3 linked regions of the Notamacropus eugenii genome follow. The protein of the gene in region 1 interacts with the protein of each later gene in a pairwise test. Links are inferred from orthologs where the notes say so. Each region holds a gene or a part of one and is shown in the gene's direction. Other genes may lie near its edges.

Region 1 (7,888 bases):
TGTGTATCAGTTTTTGGACAATAGGCATTCTGCATCCATTTGGTTTATCTAATGCAGATAGTTAGGGTGAACTCTTAAGTGTTTATGGATATCTGAGACCCAGATCAGCCACTTGATTCTCCCAGGGTCTTTAGGCCAAGGGCTCCAAAAGAGGATGCTGCTGCCGCAGTGGCTGCTGCCACCCTGGGGCCAGGGCCAGATGCCACTCTCCTCTTATCCAGGTGAAAGAGTTTTCTTACTGACCTTTGAAGCTGTCTTTGGCATTTGTGGGTTCAGAAATTTGGGAACCACAGCTGCTGTCCATGATTCCATACCCTGAAGCCTGTTCCAGTCCTGTCCATGCTGCACTCTGAGGCTGGGGTGCACACTGTTCCACTTTGAGCCTGGTGCAATATGCCTTTCCTGTTGGCCTTCCAGGCTGTCTTGGGCTGGAAATCTCTTTCACTCTGTCATTTTGTGGCTTCTGCTGCTCTAGAATTTGTTTAGAGCCATTTTTTACAGGTATTTTATGGGCTACAGGGAAAGAGCTAAAGCAGGTCGGTCCTTCTACTCCACCATCTTGGTTCCATCCCCCTATGTTTGGTTTTGAAGGGACAAAGACAAAAACAAAACCATCTCTACCCTCAAAGAGTTTACATTCTCCTGCTGGGAAAATATGCACACAGATAAGTCAATATAAAATATATACAAAGTAAAAGTAGAAGAATTTTGTTGAGGGGAACTAACTGGGGAGATCAGGAAAAAAGGAGCATAGTATGAAAAAGAAACATCCAAGCCTCTGTTTTTTCTGCCATTATTAAGGATGAATATCTGGCCACTCCTTAACCTCCTTTCCTACATCTTTATCCAGATCATGCCCATAGGACTCTGACCTGAGCCTTCTTCTCTTCTCTCTCTATACTCCTTCACTTGATGATCTCTATGTTCATGATTCTCAAATCTACTTATCCAGGCCAAATGTCTCTTGTTAACTTCCAATCTCCCATCTCTAACTGCCTCTCAGACACCTTGAACTGGACATCCCATAAAAGTCTCAAACTCAACATGTCTAAAACTGAACTTATTATCTTCCTCCCTATACCCTCCCCTTTCCTAACTTCCTTATTACTATTGATGGCACTACTACCCTCCTAGCCCCCAGGTTTGCCACCTAGGCTTCATCCTCCACTCCTCACTCTCTCACCCCTATATCCAATCTATTGTCAAGGTTTGTCAATTTTTACCTTCATAACATCTCTTGTGCATACCGCTTTCTCTCCTATGACACTACTACCTCTATAGTACAGGTCCTTTCTACCTCATACCTCAGGCAGAAACTTGCTGGTTGGTTTCCCTGTCACAAGTCTCTCCTCACTCCAGTCCATCCTCCACTTTGCTCTCAGATCTTCCTAAGGTTTGACCAGTCTGAAGATGTCAACCCCTCCTGCCTCCATTTAATACAATCTAGTGGCTCCCCATCACATTCAAGATCAAATGTTAAATCCTCTGATATTCAAAGCCATTTATAACTTGCTCTCCTCCCACCTTTCCAATCCTTTTACACTTTATTACATACTCTTCTGTTCAGTGATACTGACCTCCTTGCTGTTCCTCCAAGATACTCCATCTTTCCATTTGCAAATTCTTCCTACACACCTTTTCTTCCTGTCTTCCTTGGCTTTCTTCAAATCCCAGCTAAAATCTCACCTTCTATACGAAGTCTTTCCTGACTCCCCCTTAATTCTAGTACCTTCTTTCTAATAACTGTAGCTTCCATAATCACTTAACCTAGGCCAACTCTAATTGTAGGGGGTTGTCTGGAGTCTGATTTCCTCAGAGTACTGGTCAGCCTGTTGGTGGATGGGGGTAGCAGTCTAGAGGAAGGCTGCCATGTTTAGTGTCTTGTCATTCAGGGCCACCTTCTCCTCCAACCCTGTAGAGCCAAGTGCCAGGCAGTATTCTTTCACAGCAAAATGGCCTCTGTAGTCAGACTCTTGCCATGTAATTCCCTCCCTCTTTTCTCCTGTTTTAATTTTGTTTTGTTTGCCACTGATGAATGTAGTCTTAGCTATAGCCCTTGCTAACACTTAGATTCTCCTTTATCATTGTGTAACAACTTTCCAATTTCAAAATAAGCTTTGACTTGAACTCAACTAAACAAAAATGTTTAGGGGAGAAGTATGAAGGAGAAAATGGCCATACAGTATAATATATTCATCATGTACCTTTACCTCTTTCCTCTTCCCTACTCAATCTCCCTGCAACTTTCTTTCCATGATTTGCTGCTGGTTTTAAAGGTACTGAACAAGTTGGCAAGATAACATAAATCAATCCAAGTCATCACTTGTACTTTGATATTTTAAAAAATCTGTAATTTTGAGTGTGTAGGTTCTCTATCAAGGCAGATCAAAACTCCTACCCTTTTGTGATCTTTATTAGAAGCTTTGGCAGAATTTATTTTTTATTCTGCTGCTGACAGTGACAAACTCCTCAGAACTTAATAAAGCTTGTTTTCAGAGAACAGATACATGCTGTTTCTGGACCCATAAGCAAAACTATCTTTGCAGAGCCTTCTAGAGCTTGCACCTTGCAAGCATGGCCATTGAGAACACAAGACAATCTGTACCTCATGAGGCTTAAGAATAAGACTTAAGTAGCACTCACTTCTCTACAGTTTCATTTTTATGGGTGCTGGTCAAATTATTATAATCCCTGTCCCAAAGCCCATTCGTACAAGATTCTCTCCTTATTGGTGGAGATGAAGGCCCTACCCTCCATGATGGACAAAGTGGAATTGGTGGGAGGCAGAGAGCTCCACATTTCAGTAATCCCTCTTCAGAACTCTTTAGAATCCATCCTCTCTGGGACTGGCCAAGCTTCAAGTCTTTGAGCATTAATTCCTCTCAGGTACTCCTAGCTTCCAGGAATAAATTCTGGAAACACATGAGTAGAGCTTGCATTTCCCTATCTCCAGCTAGCTATACTAGAGGTTTGGGGGAATTATCTCTTCAGTGAGATAAAACACATTCTTGGTTGGGTTATTTCACTCCCAAAGACAAAGCCCCTTCATTCTCAATTGTGTGCTGTATATTATTTGTATACCTTCTGCTTTGCTGTGCTTTGAATAAATGAGTTCCTTTGCTATTTTCTGTGTTTTCACTGGGAAACTGGTATTTGGTGAAGAAGGGGTCAGGCCCTGAATATAGATCTTAGAGTCCTTCTTCCCCCCAAAACGACAAAGTGATCAGATACTTCTAACCTGGTACTCCCTGTCTTTGAAGATAGTAGATTAGCGTCTTCTGGCCCGAACATTTTGCTTCCCTTCCTGGAAGGAATTAAAGTAGGAGAAGAGGCTAGAGATGTTTGTTCTGAATACTTTGAGCCATACAACAGTCCTCTCCATAGGTTGGCCTTACATATCTGCGACATTACAATATCCTTTTCTTCAATTTCTCTTCTATGCTTTTACTCCCCCTCCCTCTACTACCTACATACTAATATTGACTAATATTTGTAAAAATTAAGGTAACATCCATATATGACATTCATTTCTCCATAAGTTAGGGACTGGACCTGTGATTTCATTGGTAAGAACAGTTTCTGGGTGAGGAAACTACTACTGGTGCAGGTCAGCATGTTCTGTCTAATTTATAATCTTAGTTGCCTCAGAATACTGAGGAAATTGAGTCACATGCAGAGTCATGCAGCCAGCATGAGTCACTAGAGGGACCGAACTCAGCTCTTCTTGGCTTGGAGGCCAACTCTCTACCCACTGTATACCACATTACCACTCCTGCGATTTTATAATCAAACTGCCTGGGCCTCAAAAAAACAAGTCAGGGTTGGGGAAATGATTCGTTCACAAGTAGTGTCTAAATTACTTTGTTTCTGAAACTAAAGGAAAGGATAAACTCTCCCAAGTTTTGTTTTATTGTAGTGTACAGAGGGATAACTTTAACACGTTTTCCTTTAAGGATGGGCTCATCTGTCCCCCTCCTGAAAACCAAACCAAAGCTGCGCTGCACATTCTAAAAAGTGCTGCCAGAGTGGGAGGCAGATGCGGGCCAGCGGCAAACGCCCTCTTCGGAATCGGAGGAATGAAGTCCAAATACCAGCTCCGCGACTTCCCGTCGAAGCATATCTGGCACCACGGGGGCTGTCAGTTTCCACATCCGAGAAGAAGCGGGGAAGGGGGTGGGCAGGGTCTCTCAAGTCCCCTTCACTTCCGTGGTTCTTGGGCTCGCCCATAGCCGGCCCCGAAGGGTCTCGGCTCCGCTTGGGGATCACCGGCAGCGCAGCCTTCGCGGGCTGTCTGTCCTGGGCCGATGCTCCCTCTCCTGCAGCCCTCGAGCCCGCGCGGCGCATTCCCGGGGCTTCCAGGTACTAAGAGCCCACTCTGCGCCGCCCGAAGGGAAGCATGGGGATGGGCTGGAAAAGATGCAAAGGATGCTCGGCAGATGTCCAACAGGCTAACAAACTGAAGCTCCCTGGGGAGAACACCTGGCCGGGAGAAGAGGCGTGACGACGTCAGGATAGGACAAAAAAAAAAAAAAAAAAACCAAAACACGTGTCTACCGCGCACGCGCAGAAGGTACTTCATCGCTCTAGCCTCGGCGCCCCCTTCTGCCCTACCACTTTGGGATCTGACAGAGGAAGAGATGGACGGAAGCTACTCTCCTACGCGACGTGGACACTGTCGCTCTTCCTCCATGCCTTCCCACGTAGACAGTGACGCGCTCAACACCTCCAACTCTTGCGTTGAGTTCTCATCCCGCAACTTGCCAGTACCCAAGATGGCCACGGAGAGGCTGGGCCCTGTCAGAAGCCTATCACAGGCTAGGGGCTGACCTTTGCCCCTCCCCACTCCTCCCTCTCCGGCGCCAGTGGCGGATTGCTTCTGCGCGTGCGCAAAGGGGACGGGGGAGGGGGGTGGGGGGGTGCGACTCCGACCCGCGGTCTAGCCAGTTCCTCCTCCGTAGCTGCTTCAACCTCTGCTTCATCCCTTTGCCACCCTTAGAGCTGGGTTCCCATCGTTACCTGCGCGAGGGGCCAGGGACGCAGGACCGGCAGCGGCGCGCTCGCGGAGCGCTCGGTCCCGGCTGTTCCCCTCCCGCGGGCAGGTGGCCGGGTCGGCGGGAGAGGCGAGGGGCAGGCCCTCAACAGCGCCATGTCGGCGGGCGGCCCGTGCTCGGCGGGGCCCGGAGGGGTCTCCGGGGGTGCCTCCTGCGCCTCAGGGGTGCCCCCCGGGGGGGTGTCGATGTTCCGATGGTTGGAGGTGCTGGAGAAGGAGTTTGACAAGGCCTTCGTGGACGTGGACCTCCTCCTGGGCGAGATCGACCCGGACCAGGCGGACATCACTTACGAGGGACGCCAGAAGATGACCAGCCTGAGCTCCTGCTTCGCGCAGCTCTGCCACAAGGCGCAGACCGTGTCCCAGATTAATCACAAGCTGGAGGTGAGCCCGGAGGAGGGGTGGCGGGGGCTCGCTCCCGGCGGGGAGGCCGAGGCAGACGCCTGGGGGCGGCCGCCAAAGCCACTACGGGTACGACTCCCTTTCCCCCGTAAGAAGAGGCGATTCCCCCAGCTCCTTTCCTGAACGCTGGGACTTGGCGTGAGGGCGATGCCTTAGTCCTGCTCCCCCTGCTCCTTACCCCCCATCCCAGCACTGGAGGTTCTTCCATCAGATTAGCAGCTTTGCTTCTTGATAGACTCTTGATTCTTTTTCAGGTGGGTAGCTTTTTTCTTCAGTACCTGAGCTGTTCGGTGGAATTTGATCAGATCTGTGGAGACAAATGAGTTTGGAGAGGGGATCGCTTTCCTTAATTATAGATAGCAGAGTGGTTCTGTTTATAGACAGGTTTTAAGTTACCTCAGTTGCTTGGAACGGCCCTTCAGCAGTGGGTTTTATTTGTGAAGCTTTTCCGAGCCCCTTACTGCTTTCCTTCCGAGATTATTTCTAAGTCATCCTATAAATAGTTTGTCCCCAGAAATCTTAATGCAATTAAAAGCTTTAGTAGCTTTTTCAAGTCTTAGTGCAGTTTTAAGTTACCAAACCTTTAGTATCTTAAAAATGTACTAAAATTTTGGGGATACTCTATATATCTCTTTTGTATATAGTTATTGGAATGTTGTCTCCTCTATCAGATTTTGTAAGCTCCTTGAGAACAGGGACTTTTAAAAAGCCATTCCTTGTATTTCCAACGTTTAACAGAGTGCCTTGCACATAGGTGCTTCTTAAATGGCATATCAGTTTATTTACTTGACATGCCCTAATTCTTAAAAGCTGGGTTCCGGGTAAGTAAAGAATGCTCAGACTTTGATCTTCTTGTGACTTTCTAGGGGCAGAAATATTTACACAACACCACAGGTACAAAATAATTCAAATTACAACATTTTCACAGTACTACAGAGTTAATAAATAAAAGGGTTTCATGAAAGAAAGTTTCCACCTTAGGTTTTATAAGGAAAGAATTAGACCTGTCCTTTTAAAGTAGGAAAGAGGGAGGGGGGAATATTGAAATTAGGACAGAGGGATTAGGTGGGAAAAAACTATGGTAATAGCTTTCAGTTCCACAGTAATAATGTTACAGGTAAAAGTAATTAGGATGTATTTTTTATTAAGAAATTATTACTATTGATCCAGACTTTTGGGTTCTTACTTGTCACATAATTTGGGTGACTTCTCATGAAAGGGTAAAGGTTCTGTGTTTTATTAATTGGTAAATCCTGAAAGAAAAATTGTGTACTTAATCTTTGGTTAGCCAACTATTGCATTCTAAAATTTTCATCTTGAAACTTTTTCCTGAATTTTCATTGACAGCTTATCCCTTCCCAAAAAATCTGGTAGGAAACTGATGGTGAAAATACCTTTTGATTTCTTGGGTTTTAATGTTTTCTTGGGTTCTTTTGTGCAATTCAACAAATACTTGTAAATTTTTCTCTTTTTTGGCATTTGCATTTGGATGTGTTTCTGACACTTTTGTGGGTGGTGTTTATTATGATCCTGTATTATGACAGAAAGGAAATCTAACTTGAACTGAGACTTAATTAGATCTCTGAATAAACATATTTTTGTATTAGAACAGATTTTATTTTCTCTTAAAAACTTGGATAACCAAACACTTAAACAGTGATAACTTAAATGTCAAATTAAGATACTAATTTTGTAGAAGGGGAATCATTGTGTGAGTGGGAGGTGGTTTTCAGTTACCTTCATCTTTATCCATTCCAAATGAATGTTAAAAGTAGTCATAAATTATTCAAAGTTGCTCTCTTTTCTCAAATTACATATTCTAACTTCAAATTCTTTCGTAGGAGGCTGTATTTTTTAATGTAAAAATAAAATAACATTTCTTTCTTGAATTTTTTTTCACGTTTGTTCTACTACTACAAATGTTGGCAGTCCTTGTTTTAGATGAACTCCATAGTAAATGGAAGAAAAATAGGCTGTCATTTTTAGGTGGGATATATTCGGGAAAAGTTGCCCAACACTTCTGAAATATTAGCAAATCTTACAAGTTTAGCAAATAATGCAGTTTTCATTAATAGGAACTCTTAGTTGTGCGTACAGAGAAGAAAAAAGCATCACTATCAGCAAGTACTTTTCAGAGTTTACCACAAGGTAGCCATTGTATTTCCAGTCTTCTGAATACTTAGAAAATATCATCATCCTATTTTGATACATACTTTCTGTTCCTCATATGACATGGTTTTTGAGTACATCACCATTCTGGATTTTTTTTTTCCTCTGGATACTCTCCAGCTTGTTAATATCTTTTTAAAAATGACGTACCCAGGAATGAACACAATATTCCAGGTATTATCTGACCACTGCTGATTATGGTGGGATTTATGTTTATGTTTGATTACTTCCCTTGTTCAGGACACTCTCTGTCTATTAATGCATCTT
Region 2 (7,322 bases), about 110 Mb from region 1:
TACTACATTAGAAAAAATAATAACAAAATTCATCTGGAAGAACAAAAAGGCAAGAATATCAAAAGACCTAATGAAAAAATATAAAGGAAGGAGATATAGCAGTAGATGATCTTAAATTATAGTATAAGGCACTAATTATCAAAACTAGAACTCTTCTTTGCCCTAGAGCTCTGACCAAGTCCATCATTCTCCTGCAGCCACAAATGCTAGTGCTTCTCTCTGCCTGGGAACTGTGACCAGGCCCCCTGTTCCCCTGCCACTTCAAGCATTAGCACTCCTCTCCATCCTGGAACTGTGACTCAGAACCGCATACAGGTAATAAAACTGTCATTCAGTACTGTACCCAGTACCAGCAATGAGTTCCCTATAATCTCTTTCTGATCAGTTGTCTGATCCCTTTGCCATTTCTGGGCTGAGAACTCCTAAGCTGCTGCACCAATGGCTGCAACTGTGGTTGTGACTGCGATTGCTGCAGCAGTGGCTTTGCAGCTGTGGCACATGCACGCTCTAAACCAGTCTTCACTCTGGAATCACAGAGCTTTCCAGCTGACCTCCAAAGTTTTCTTAGGCTGGAAAAATGTCTCACTCTGCCCATTTCTTGGCCCCATCTCATCAAAATTTTATTTGAGGCATTATTTTAAAGGTTTTTTTTATTGGGATGGAGGGAGTGAGGAACTTTCAAGGACTCAGACAAGGTGGACAAAGTAGGAAAGGCAGGAGAAGGAAAGGAGACATTGCCTTGGACTAGACCATTTTGCAAGTACTGAACATTTACAGGTCGCCACCCTAAAGTGTTCCTGAGATTGCAGAATAATATAATATTCAATATCCAAAAAAGAAAGCAACAGAGTCCAGCCTAGAACTTCATTCCAGAAATGTGCAGAGTATACCTCTAAAATCAAATCTAAAATCAGGAAATAGGCTAGAAAAATGAACAAAATTTTTAAAGAAGTATCCTACCATAAAAAGCTATTATGGTAATAGGGATATTCAAGATACAACCCCCAAAGAAGAAAATGACTCCAAAACATCTACAAACAAAGACTCAAAGGAAAACACTTTGGACACAAATTCAGCTAGAATTCTGAGAGATGAATTTTTAAAAGAGCTAAAAATATTTTTTATAAATGAAATGAGAATGTTAAAGGAAAATATTGGAAAAGAAATGAGAGTGGTGGATGAAAGAATTAAAAAGAGAATTAATAGCTTGGTATAAAAGGTATCTTACCCAAGAGACATGACTCCATGAAACAAGAAATATTAAAAACAAAATCAAAAGGCTGAAAAAATTAATTTGTTCTTTTATATCTTGATGAACTTAAGAAAATAATGGAAAAATGGGGCAAGAGACACACCCTGAGGGATCATAAGGGGAAAAGAAGATTAGAGAAAATTATTTCACATAATCAAGATGTACAAGTAGACATCTATATACTTAAGTAGGAGGGAGTGGGAATGAATGGCTAACACTTGAACCTCACTCTCCTCTGAACTGATCAAAGGAGAGAAGAACATAAACACATATGCACAGTTCTGTTTTCACTGTTGAGTACAGAAATGCATTTCGCTCCATAGGGAAATAGAAAGTAAAGAGGTGAAATTAAAGGGAGGGTAGATTAAGGAAGAGATGAGTCTCTAAGCAAAACAAACTCTAAGGATGTAGAAAAAATGTTTATAGTTCTTTTAGAGATCTCAAAGAATGGAATATGAGAAGATGCCCATAAATTGGGGAGTGTTGAGCAAGTTTTGGCAATAAAAATAGGATATGGTTTCAGATAAACCTGGAAAGATTGTATGAAGTGGAAGCAACCAGCAGAACAATTTATATAATTTATATATGAATGAATGAATAATTTATATAATGACAATATTATAAAAGAAAGCAACTTTGAAAGAATCAGGAATACTGATCAACATAATAATCAACTACGATTCCAGAGGATGAAACATACTGCCATACAAACAAACTTTCCTCATAGAAAGATGGAGAGAATTATCAAATATAGCAAATATAGAAATTTGTTTTGCTTAACTATATATATTTGTAATAAGAGATTTTGTCCATCTTACGTTCTCAATTGGGGGAGGGAGATGAGTTGAGATGGAATGGAGAGAAGGTGGATATTTTCTGATTGAAAAATATGATTTCTTTTTTACAAAGAAGTGACATTATCTGGAAGTTTTCAAAGTCCATTAATATTAATACTCAGGAGATAGATAGATATCAATAGCTCCATCCTAATGAAGCACACAAAGGGTAAAGATGCTCCTGAGATCATCAATGTCTTTGAAACCAGTCAGTGCTCCAGCTTACCCTCAAATCCAGATATCCTAGGTAAGTATGCTGTTTATTGTTGCACATAAATTCTCAAATGGCAAACACTTCTGGCCAACTAGTTGAGGTCATACAGACCCTTACATTTTATGTTTGCCTCAGCTGTTTTTATAACTTTCACCTCCCCAAAATTCCCTTTTGAGTTGACACATACAGCATTTTCTCTTGACCAAAAGTTCTCAGGATAAAATCTATTTGGCTGTTTTAAAATAGTCACATAGAACTTTTTACTGAGATTCACTAATTAGAAAATAAAACTTTTACCCACACTCTCTTTACCAGAGCATTCCAGGTCTTATTCCTCATCCTCTATCCTCAACTTTGGGAAATAGGCAACTTGTCATCAAGGTGTGTGGAAAGGGGTTGGAAACAACAGAATGGGGTGACTTCAGGTTTGTGCAAAAGACTCAAAGTGCTCTTTCAGATTTTTCCTACCCCACAAGTCTTTAAAGCTTCACTTGATGCTCAATTTGAATTGATTTCACTGTCACAGAAATGCTCAAGCAGTAGTGTACACAGCATGATTTGCTAGAATAAACTCTACCTCTCAGTGTCTCAACTCTAAAAATTTAAGTTGCAGACAAATTACCTAGCTGCATGGGTGAAAGGATCTTCATTGATAGTGGAGGGAGTACCTCTGTCCCACTCTACCAACGTATTTTTACGATGCTGTTAGGAATGACTATACATCTCACTGACCTGCCTTGTCCCTGGAGAATCAGTTCTCAGATTTGAGCAATAAATTGTTAAAACTTTCTGGAACCTACATGTCTATTCCTCAGTGCTACAAACTGAGATTCAGAATTTGAGTATCATAACTTTATCATAAATCCAGAAAGTATTAGCTATTTCCATTTCATAAATTTTATTGTCAAATCTGGAATGCATCATTCTTCATGCCCACATCCTATCAGTTTTAGTATAAGAGGAAGGAAATGCAGAAGGTGTGGGGTGACTTGGAACCTGTAGCAGTAAGGTTTAGGGGAAACTTTAAATGTGACAAAACCCTATTGAACTAGAAACAGAACTCATTCATAGAAAGAACTTAGCTTTCCTTCCAAAAGTCTGAAGCTTTCTCTTTTGCTATAACCTGCTTGGTGAGATCAGTTGCTGGATCCAGATCTTGCTTGGTGACTTCAGCGTATTCCTTTTCTGCGAACAGAAAAAGATTCAGTATGAGAGAGTTCAATGTGTGTGTGCAATATATTTCACTTGCAAAAATCAAGTTAGATTGTCTATCAAAGAGTGTGATTTTTCACTGAGGCTGCTTAAGATTTGATTCTTGGGAAGAAACCCCAATATAAAATAATCTCACTGGTCTAGCTACACTAGGCCCCGTGGGACCAAGAGAAGATATGAGGACAGTATGTTCCACTGGAAGTTTTGTTTATTTTGAAGTGCTTCAGCTTATCTCTTTCCTGAATGCTACAAATCCAAACTGCCCTGTAGGAACACAGACATGTTGAAAACTGAGGGCCCCAAAACAGCTTTGGGGATTTTCCCGATAGCCCCCATTAAAACTAAACTCCTAAAGACAATTGATTCTGCAGAATCTATTACTATCTGTTTCTCACTCCAAGGTCAGAACATGGGCTAGGAAATCCTTGGCTTATTTTTACAAATTCCTAGTCCCTGAAAGGTCACGTCTTATTCCATGAACACAGATCACACTTGGAAAGCCTAACAACATTGTAATTCTTAATTTCTTAAATTTGCTCTGTACGGAAGGATTACTGCCTCCAGTTTCCTAAAGACACATTGTTGTTCCTTCCCCTGCCTGCCCCAATTCATATTTGCAGTCTCTGGGACAGCTCAGCATGCTACAAAGAGTTAAACCAGCTGTGCTGATATTCTCTTGGCGGCTCCAAATTCCAGGTCCAAGCAATAAGCTTCTGATTGGCTGAGCTCCTATCAGTAGTAGTGGGTATCAGATATCAAACTTGAGACTTTACTAAAAAACTTGTTAGCAATACTCTCCGATCCTTGGTAGGCTATGACATCAGCCAAGAAAGCCTACCATGATCATAGTAACCTCTGAGTAGGAGGAGGATCCTTCTGGCTGAGTAATTAGCTCTGCACAGCGAGGGTGAGCAGTTAGTTTTCTGTTAGTGTCAGTGTGCGTTGCATCCAAACTGATTTGAGGTACTGGCTGCTGCAAGACAAGTCCCCAGGAAAGCACAACAAACATCGGATGAATTCTGAATTATTAGCTGTGGTCATTTTGCCTCCTGGTTGAAATCAGGGTGGGGTTTCTGGCACAGGACTGCTTGCTGAGAATCACCATGACACTCCTGGGGTCTGAGCATTCTTTGTTGATTCGGAACAAGTTCAGATCAGGTAGGGCTCATTACACTTTCTTCTTCTGCAAGTCTTATTTGCTTTTTTATTAAATGTATTTGAAGCCCCAAACAAGGCAAATGATAACAGATTGCTAATACTGCCACAGTTCTGTCCCCCTTCCCAATATTCTGGGGGCAGGCTTGCATTTAAATTGGGAGATAATTGTATGAATCTAATTTCTTTGCTTTTAGTTCATCTGTGTTTCGTGTTTGGATTATAATAACTCCTATTAATTTTCATTTCTTTTCATACCCCATAAATTGGGTCATATATATGAAGGAGTAAGTTCTGAAAGGAACAATTAAGAAATCTCCAGTTTGTGCTTTTTGGTATGTTAGGTTATAATTCCTGAGAAGACCAACCAGGTACTAGTATATTAGAACCTAGAGATCAGTTGGGACACAACTAATTCACATAAACGCATTTCCAAAAAAGAAAAGTCACTTGGGGGAAGTAAAAATAGCAAATTTATTTAAAATGACATCACTGCAGAAAAAAGACCCAGTGCCACAGTTCCTCCACAACCATCTGATATTTATAAACTGAGAATCTATCCCAAATCTTCTGTGTTAGTGGAGAGCAGAGAAACTTCTGAAAGATCATTCTCTCTGAGCGAAGGTGAGTGAAGGGACCTGAAAGGGCCAACCCCTCCTCAACAGAAAGTCTTTATTCAAATTCCTACAGATAAAGTCCAGCAAGTGAGTATTCATATACACCTGTGCACATTTTTCCTCTAAATCCTTCCTAATTAACTTTACACATAAAACTGCTATGATTCAATGGGCTATGCAATTCAATAGCGGGGGAATTACTATTGTGTGATGTTTTACTTTAGGATTCTATACCTTAGGACAATATGCAAATTTGCCAAAACTTTTATTCAGAAGAACCCTAGAGAGTTTTCCTATTTCTAACCCGAAGTTTTCCAAAATGCCTCTTTTAATTCTTGTTGCTTCATTTTATTTTTTATCACGACACCTGAGGTTTGTAAGAATGATGATGGGAGTGAGGTGTTTACCAGAAATAGACTTCAGCAGCTACAACATTAGCAATGTTATCAAAACTCCAGAATGTAAATGGAAACCACAACTCCAAGAAGATTCGTGTGTGTGTGTGTGTGTGTGTGTGTGTGTGTGTGTGTGTGTCTGTCCCTTGAGATCTTAACACTGCAGTTGATCAAGCCATTTCTCTGTTTGGTGAAGTGTGATGAATAGATTTCTATCAAGAATTGTGAAGCAATACTGCCACCTTTCTGAAGAAGAGAGGGTGCAACCTTGTTTTGAGGGCAGCCACATTCTTTTCATGTGAGCCATGGCTGTTTTTAAAATGAATTTTTGCCTGGTTTGCCTGTAAAAGGATTTTGTGATGTTCTTGATAATACACTTGCAAAACATACTTGTCAAATGAATCTTTCCTTACAGTAAATTTCAAGGGGGTAGTGAGCACATTAAATTCTTCCACAATTCATGTGGCCCATCGTGGTGGATTTATGGGCTCATCTTTTTTTGCTAATATTATTTCCCACTATATCTCATGAATTTGAGGTTGATTATACTGGTATCCGTGGTAATGCTTTGGAGTCTTTGATCACAGGGATATTTCATACCAAAGACCTTACTTAGCATACTCACTTCATATTTCATCTGCTAAGACAGTGTCTCATGGCAGACAGGAAGGTTGGTTTGAGGAGAAAGATATGAAAATAAAGACATAAGCAAATGTGATTACATCACAACCTTGAGTCTAGAAACATTCAGCCTGGCAATCAGAGACACACATGGAGGCTGGCAATATGCTAAGAAAATGTAAGAAAGATGTCATTAGAAACCTTAAGAAAACATGATGATAAATTAGGAAGTAATGTAATTCTTGTGCTTAGATACACTTATATAGAGAGATATATAAGCAGCTCCTGCATCCTTGAGTTGTTCTGAAAGGGGGGCTCTTTCTACAAAAAGTCTATTGTAGCTTGTGACAAACAAGTAAGGGTTGGCCTTTATCAAATTTTGGCCTCTTAGAGACAATATTTAATCTTATATGGCTATTCCAGTTTCATTACTTGATTTTGCTTTGTTATTTGCAAAAGAGACTGAAATTCTTTAATTTATGGAGAGTATTTCTTTTTAGAGAAACTAAATTTTGTTAATAATCATTGTGACATTTCAAAGGGATTGATATGAATAACTATAAGTGAAATTTGATGTGCCAAATGTTGAACAGCTAATATCCCTTTAAAAAATTTTCCCAGTTATGAACAAATGACAAGACTACCTAAACAATAAACGATGAAGGCTAAACATAGGATGTAGTCTAGAATACTATAGTAGTAGTCAAATAATACTATATATGTAAATTTGGACAAATGATTTAACTTCTCTGGATCTATTTTCTCACTTGTACAGTGAGGGATGTATTAAATGTTCTCTTATGTCCCTTTCTAGCTCTAACGTTCTGATTTCATGAAAATTATAAAAAAGTAATAGCACATAAAATAAATGGGTTTCACTCACAATAATTTTGTAAGTTAAATTATCATGCTGCATAACAGTTAATGCAAGATAAGCAGTTTATAAAAATAGCTGTAATTAATATTAGTTGTATATAAACCGCATTTTTATAGTTTCTCTCTTTTTGTTAGTTTTCCTGT
Region 3 (8,016 bases), on another chromosome or scaffold:
TCTTCCTGACTCTAAGCCTGGTGCTGTATCCTCTGAGTCACCTAGCTGTGTAGATAGATAGATAGATAGATAGATAGATAGATAGATAGATAGATAGATAGATAGATAGGTAGGTAGGTAGGTAGGTAGGTAGGTAGGTAGGTAGGTAGGTAGGTAGCATTTATTGAGTGCTTTCCATGTACCCCAAACTGTGCTAAATACTAAGGACACAAATATAAGTAAGCCAGACAGTCCTTGCCCTCAAGAAGCTTATATTCTAATGTGGGAAGCTAACATAAAATGGAGATCTGAAATGGGTGTAAGTTGACACACAGTGTCATGGTTACAACAATTGGCTCCCTCTTCCGTTAAAAAAAAACTTCAAATTTTTGAAGATATATGTGCCTCTTTTAGGTTCAATATTCCCAGTTTTTCTGTCAGTCCTCCTGTGGGATATTTTTCCAGGCTCTTCATTATCATTGTCACTGTCTTCTGGATGGATGCCAGTTTTTTCAATGTCCTTCTTAAGATGTGGAATTGAATGCAGTCTATAGAACATCCAATCTAACCAGTGCTGTAACAGTAAGAGAATGGCAGTGACAAAGAGTCCTGTAATCAAAAGTCAGAGGACCTGGGTACAAATCCTGGGTTTTCTCTGCTTCCAGTGTGACTTCAAGCAAGTTAACCATTTAAGCCCTTTCTCTGTTTTCTAGTTTGTGGATGATTTTACCTGATAGAGAAGTTGGGGGGGAGGGGTGATGAAGTGAGGGAAGCTATTGCTTCATTTTCTCTCCTATCCACCCACCAACTCCCCTTTCTATCCACTTAATCTTTCCAATGAATGTATATGTTTGTGAATGACAAGGGGCAGAATAGAGAGCAAGAGATGGTAACTAGAAGAGGGTCCTTGTGGTCACAAGATGGACCCTCGGATACACTAAGAATTGCAATTGAAACATTCAGCTCATGGAAATGTAAAAACTTAGGTTAGTAATTCCATCTAGTGAGAGATATCCTTGAAATGGTCCCAGCATGGGGCTACCATAGCATGAGAGGTTCCCATGGAGACCTAAGTTACCCATTTCTATCATGTATCCCAGAAAGAAGAAGTTAAAGAGCAGAGTGGAAACCAGCCACAGTAGCTATTCTCTGCCTTCTTCATAGAAGTTAATATGGTATAATAGAAAGAGCATTGGACTTTGAGTCAGAACAGATTCCAGATCTAGACCTTAAGCCTTACTAATTATAATCATAGGTGTGTTGCCTAACCTATATGAGCCTCAGTTTCCTTTCCGGGAAAATGGGGATGATAATAATATTTATAATACCTACTTCATAGTATTGTTGTGAAGATCACGGAGGCTTACAGATTTTAAAGCTGGAAGGGACGTTAGAGATCATCTCTCTCAGCACTAAACCACATATAATGATCCCTATAGCTGTATATTGACTTATAAAACCACAAATTAACATTGTCTATGTTCTCTTGTATTCTTATTTATTTTTTGAACATTCCTAATTACATTTTAATCTGGTTCCAGCTCAGCAGTTTGACACCTTTGATCTAATCCAACCTCTTCATTTTATTGAGTCTGAGAGATGACTTGCTTAGGGTTACATTAATAATAAATGACAGGAGGCAGCTAGGTGGCACAATGGATAGAGCACTGGCCCTGAAGTCAGGCATACCTGAGTTCAAATTTGGCCTCCAACACTTGGCACTTACTATCTATATGACCCTGGGCAAGTCACTTAACCCCAACTGTCATAAAAAATTAATAATCAGAGATTTGATCATAATAATAATGAGATTTGAACCCAGATCTTCTGATAAAAATGTAGTATTCTTTCCACTACATAATAAAGACTCTCTATGAGATGGTCAAATTGATCAATCTTGTCATTTATTAAAGGCTTGCTACATGTCAAGTTCTATGCTCGGCACTAGGGATACAGAGATAAAAATAAAACAAGGCCTGCCCTCAAGGAGCTTATATTCTATTGAATGAGATGACATGTGCATAAATAAATATAAACAGAATAAATGCCAAGCAATTTTTTGTGTGGAGGGCACTTGCACCCAGGGAAGGAGAGGTCATGGAATGTTTTATGTAGAAAGTGTCACTTTAATAGGGTTCAGAGGAAAATAAGAGATTCTAAGAGACAGATGATGACAGAGATGAGACAGTACTGCATTTCCAGGCATGAAGCAGACAGCCAGTACAAAGTCATGGAGGCAGGAGATGGAGTGAATGTGTGAGGAACAGAAGGAAGGCCAATTTATCTGGTCCATAAAGTACAGGAATGGGAGTAATGTACGTATCATTATAGCTCCAGTGATCTCATAATCAATCAAAACACCTCAGGCTAAGTTTGAAAGGGTTAGAACTAGAACGACATTGCACACTTGCACAAGAATCATATTCGTATAGGCTGAGGAAACCTGACCACACCCAGGGAGCATCTATCAATTATCAAGTTCAATTGAGAAGAGGTAGAATTCCAAAATTTGGAGTGAGTGTGGTGTTCTTGCCGAACTTCCAGAGAAGGACTCACTTGGTGGAGTGGAAGGCTTTGGCCAGATTCTACCCTCTACCTTGAGTAGAGGATAAATATCCAACTTTAAAGAGGATGGTGAATTCCCATCTTCCCACCAGTATCCTAAACAGCATTCTTCTTTTAGCTGGCAGCAGTATAGGCATCATCAGGAGCTAATGACATAGTGAGACACAACTCTAGAAGTACCCCAGTCAAGAGAACATATCATGCCCAAGGGAATGGAAGGACTTCTAGTCACCAAGAATTGCGGGGTACTCCTTTGTTTCGAATTTACCCTCAGCTTGAGCCCACTCTCCCTTGATCTCTCTACTTATTTAACAGATCATTACTTGGGGGGAGAAGAGGTGGATTTCTTGTACCAACTATTCATATTGTGGTACCTTAGCAAATTCCCATTTCTAAAAAGTGATTTAAGACTGGCTGACACTGATTCTTTTTTTTTTAATCCAATCTTATTTTATTTTCATCTCTGAATTCTCTCTCTTATCTTCCTTTCTTCCCTCACCCCACAAAGTGAGAAAAACAAAATCCATTACAAATATATATTGACTAAATGATTCTCAATTAACCATTTTGGAGGGAAGCACACCAGTGAGGGCTTGAGCCAATGGCATTAGAGAATGTCAACCCTCAGCCCTCAAGGATACCCCTAGAACCTTCATGGGAAGAGTTAATTGGCCTTGCTCTGGGAATTTCTTGTCAGTGAGAGCAGGAATTGGAATGAGTATATTAAACAGCTCATATAGGCTACAAAAGTTCAGAAAGTTAGGTTTGGGCCAGTTTGTGAAGAGCTTTAAAGGTAAACCACAGAATTTCCATTTGAATATTGGAACTTATTGAGTAGTAAAGTGACATCCTCAGGTCTGAGCTTTGGGAAAATCATGCTGGCATCTGTATAGCTTTTCATTGGCTGTCATACCTGGAATATTCTACCTCCTTACCTCCTTACCCCTTCCTCCTACTTTCCTAAAGACTCAGCTCAAATCATCAGCTCTTCAGCAGATCTTTCCATGTATAATTTCCTCCCCACCCTGAAGTACCTTTTCTCTGAAATCACCATGCATTTCTTCTGTATGTATCTTGCACATACCTGGTTACTTACATATTATCTTGTTGTTCAGTCATTTCAGTCATGTCTGTCTCTTTGTGACCCCGTCTTGGGGTTTTCTTGGCAAAGATATTGAAGTGGTTTGCCATTTCTTTCTCCAGCTCATTTTACTGATGAGGAAACTGAGGTAAATGTGGTTAAGTGACTTGCCCAGGGTCACACAGCTAGTAAGTGGCCAGATTTGAACTCAGGAAGTTGAATCTTTCTGACTCCAGGTCCAATACTCTATTTACTAGGACACTTAGCTGCCACTACATAATATCTCCTCCATTAGAATGTTGGCTTCTTGAGGGCAGGGACTATTTTGCCTTTATTTGTATTTTATCATAGTTCCTGATCACTTAATAAATGCTTATTGATTTTTAATGCACTAGATTAGAAAGGAGAGACACTTGAGGTAGGGACACTAATCTGGAGGTTACTGCAAATAGTCCAAGTGAGAAGTAATGAGGGCCTGGACTAGGTAGTTACCATGAGTGTAGAGAGTAGGGGATGGATATGAGAGAGATTGTGGAGATGAAAAAGACAAAGGTTGGAAGCTAATTGGATATGTGGGATGAAGGAAAGTGAGGAGTCAGGGAGAATGCTGAGTGACTAATACGATGGTGATAACGAGAGAACAGTATAGACAAGGAGTATAGGTTCCAGAAGAAAGAGAATGGACTCTTTTTGGATGTGTCTCAGTCTCAGGTGACTGTAGGACGTGTCAATCTCCAGTGGAAGATGTTTGACAGGAGAAAGCCTAGGGCTGGATATGAAGACTGGGGTATCTTCTGCATAGAGATAATTAAGCCCTAAGGTACTCTATAATGTCAGCTCTTATCTCTAGGTGCTCAGAGCTAATGAACCGAGTATGATTCTTAACCTGAAGACCAAGGGCCCACTTTAAGTGTCTACCAGGGCTGGCCTCTGTAAGGTCTTCCTCCAATTAGGCTCATGTGGATGGCATGTGCACAGCCTAGGGAGCCTGCTTCAACTCTGGTCCCCAATCCCTTCAGGGGACTTCAGAACAGTGTGTAATGTGTTTGTACTAGACGTTGTCTCTACTTTAGAAGGAATCTATTCCTATAACATTTCTGCTTGAGAGGGCAGAGCTGTCCCCAGAAGGCAGACGTGCCTAGTAACCTGGGGATGCTGTTTCCACTCCAGATGTGCCAGGGTGCTGGGGGCTGTAGTAGTGTTCCCAGCCCAGATGTGGATTTGGGGATGTTCTTGGCCCAGTCAAAGGACTCTCATTTCTGCATTTTTATTTTTCTTCTTCTTCTTTTTTTTTTTTTTTGGAAAGAGCCCACTAGGGCAAACTCTGCTCCCACACACACACACAACACACACACAGAGTTTGGAATCTGCAGTTCTAAACAAGTAGCAACCTGTGAGCTTCCACTTCTGGTCCCCCAGGGCTTCCATTGAAAATCCAGCCAGGCCGTAGCTGCAGAGGGCTACAAAGGTCACTCCAGCTCGGTGGGTTAAAACAACAGATCGACTGCACCGGGCCAAGTTGGCTCAATGGTTAGCAGCCCAGTTGCAACATCTGTGAGCCCCATCAGAACAAAAGCCTTTTAAATTCCTGTGACCTGGGTCTATCCTTTACTGCCCGTGATACAGCTCGCTCCCTCTGCTCTCCTTGCACTCTGGGACTCCTGGGAATGGACTTTGGAAAGGAAATCAGTGCAATTAAGTGGTGAAGTGGGAAAGCTGCTGGTGGAGTCAGTGCTGCCTCCTATGGAACCTGCCGAGGGGAGAGGCTGCCGGGTGGGTAAGGTCTCCCCGGGTTTACCGCCGGGCTCATTTGCTTCACTTCGCCGGTTGTGTACTTGTCAGATAGGGAGCCGGGGCCAGGCAAAGCTGGGGCGGCTTTCTCCGGGATTAGGGAGATTAGGGAGCAGACTGTGAGAATTTGTAGGGATTAGTGTGCATTTCAGAATTGATTCCGGCGGGGGGAGGGGGAGACTTGGGGCTATCTTCGCTCTGTCCAGCAGCTGTAGGGATCGTCCCAGTGTCGGACTCACGTTAGACCGGAGAACCGGGGGCTCCCCGGAATGCGGGAGGCGGTATAGACGGAAAAGCCTGAGACTAGGCAGAAATCAAGGAGGGTGTTGCCAGGGCATCTTGTAGTCAGAGAAAGGTATTCAAGAAATAAAGGAACTAAATGGTATTTGAGGCAGCAAAGGAAAAAGCAGAAAACTTGTCCCGTTTTCTAACCTGCTTTACCCCGTGTCTTTTGACTCTGAATTATAGGAGAGACTTTCATTTTCGGTAGTCTCCCCGCCTTCCCCCCGCCAGAAGAAAAGAGAAAAAAAATCAGAATACTGAAGGGGAGGACATCTGTACTATAAAGCCTGCTTTAGGATTAAATGGTTAAATAATTGAGACGGAAAGTTTTCTTTTTCCCTAATTGGATTCAGGAGATTATTTATATAAAGTATTTTGAGTCGAATTAAAGTGAAATCGCTAAATATTGCTTCTGGTGATGATTAATAAGCCAAGGCAAATTGCCCTCACAGACTAACAGTGGTTTAGCTTTTTGCCTTGGGGGACTGGCACTCTCAGACCTTTTTGCCCCTTCTCTCATCCTGTGTCCTGCTACATCCCCCACCGCCCCACTTGCTGCCCTTTGGATCTCAGTTTATTTTGTCCTGAAGGAGTTTCCTCCAGCTGTGTGTTTGTGGTTTCAGGGAGTGTTGATACAGAGGTTATCTTGGAAATCCCCCAGCTTCTTTTGCTTAGGAGAGTGGACCCCTAATTATCAGGAGGAGGAAGAGGGACCTGGAGGCCGGGACTATTCGTTTTTTTTTTAACTGAACATTCTAAAAACATCAGTGGCCATTGATTGCCAATGCCAAAGGAATCTATTTATATTAGTAAAGACAGCTGGTGAGATGATGGGCTGAGAGTGAGTGAAGCTGGTTGGCGTGCCTGCTGAATTGGAACTGAGTTGTAGCCTTAATACATGTGATGATTGAGTAAGTATATCCCCTCCCTACTCACCTCCTTCTGGAGTGCCAGAACTCACCCTTCCTCCACTGTTCCTTCCCTAACCTGAGGCCAGACCCCTTCCTAGGGCCTGACACCCCACTACTGCACTCTGTTCCCCAGGCTGGTGTTTCAGAAATCAAGCTGCTGGTTGCTTTTCATCCACTTAAAGAGCCAAACTGGGGTCTTTCTGGATCTTAAGGAACTCAGAGTGTTTTGGGACTGATTCACTTCCATCTATAGCAAACCTGTCCATATTTCTGAACTCATTTCAAATGCTACCCACTTAATCAAGGTTTTCCTGATCCTTGTCCCCCACTGCCCCATCTCTCCCAAGGAGAGTTATCATCTTTCCATCTTTAGTTTATAATTCCTTCATAGCTTATTACTCAATTTAGCACAATCCTTTGGCCCTGCATTAACAAAGCTAGAAGGAACAATGCTGGAAAGTTCATGCCTTTAGTAGATTCCAAATCTGAGAAGATGTTCTTGGCATGTCAAGATTTTCTTATTTTGACCTGACAAGATTTTTTATTTTTAATTAGAAAATGTGGAAGTTGGAGGTAGTGGTAGAAGCAGGAGTGATGATGGTATTTGGGAGGATAGAAAAAAAAGTGTCCTATTATATTTAGCTAAGTATGCTGGACTGTCTTGAAGGGGAAAAGGTTGGTAAAGATGTAACTGGAAAGAGCTTCCCTAGCCTTGGGGAGCTCCCAGTCTGGGGGTGGGTGGGAATTGAGTTTTTGTCCTCCTCTACTTTCCCTTCCATTGGAAAAGGCATAGTTCTTCCCCTTGGGGGGACTCCCAGTTCGATTGGAGACATAGGAAAAACTCTGAGTAAATAAATATAAGGCATTAACATTGAAAGACAATGATATTGATGATGTGAAAAAGAGCTATTCAAGTAATATCTGCCTAATTTTACACACATTAAGAATGAGGTCATACGATGGACTAGAAATGGAATTGGAATCACAGAATTGACTCATATCCCAGTTCTTCTACTTAATATCCATGTGAATTTCATCAAGTCACTTCACTTCTGGGCCTCAGTTTCCTCAACTATAAAATTAAGGGAATTAACCTAGACTATCCTTTCAGCTTTGGATCCTCTGAGGTTTCCAGAGTGATTCCAGTGACCAGAACTGGGAAGATTAACTTAGAAAGAGGTTTTCATGGAGGTGAGTTGAGAGTAAAGAGTAAGACAGAGTAGGGAACATTGAATAAGGATCAACAATGTGTTAACCCTTCTCCTCATGTGGCTTACTGACAGCTGTCAGTCCTAATTAGACTCCTGTCTTCTCTTGTTCATCCTCTATAAAGCTGCAAAAATAATCTTCCTAAAGCTAAGTTCTCACCATGTCACCATTCCCTTACTCCAGAATCTTCATTGACTC

Evidence for each region. The genes of interacting proteins can lie anywhere in the genome.
Region 2: the proteins of GOPC (region 1) and MYOCD interact in binary tests that used the Homo sapiens proteins (3 or more experiments, as listed by UniProt). The two-hybrid records come from large-scale screens. The link is inferred for Notamacropus eugenii from reciprocal best matches to the Homo sapiens genes GOPC and MYOCD.
Region 3: the proteins of GOPC (region 1) and MYLK interact in binary tests that used the Homo sapiens proteins (3 or more experiments, as listed by UniProt). The two-hybrid records come from large-scale screens. The link is inferred for Notamacropus eugenii from reciprocal best matches to the Homo sapiens genes GOPC and MYLK.

What each region holds. Positions count from the first base shown.
Region 1 is NC_092873.1:199,301,004-199,308,891, reverse strand, and holds the start of GOPC (Golgi-associated PDZ and coiled-coil motif-containing protein), read left to right. Parts: upstream 1-4,888; 5' UTR 4,889-5,146; coding exon 5,147-5,434; intron 5,435-7,888.
Region 2 is NC_092873.1:314,054,993-314,062,314, reverse strand, and holds the start of MYOCD (myocardin), read left to right. Parts: upstream 1-4,305; 5' UTR 4,306-4,617; coding exon 4,618-4,672; exon of another isoform or gene 4,673-5,373; intron 5,374-7,322. UniProt on the Homo sapiens protein: Smooth muscle cells (SM) and cardiac muscle cells-specific transcriptional factor which uses the canonical single or multiple CArG boxes DNA sequence. Acts as a cofactor of serum response factor (SRF) with the potential to modulate SRF-target genes.
Region 3 is NC_092876.1:340,049,733-340,057,748, forward strand, and holds the start of MYLK (myosin light chain kinase, smooth muscle), read left to right. Parts: upstream 1-4,999; 5' UTR 5,000-5,368; coding exon 5,369-5,402; intron 5,403-8,016. UniProt on the Homo sapiens protein: Calcium/calmodulin-dependent myosin light chain kinase implicated in smooth muscle contraction via phosphorylation of myosin light chains (MLC). Also regulates actin-myosin interaction through a non-kinase activity.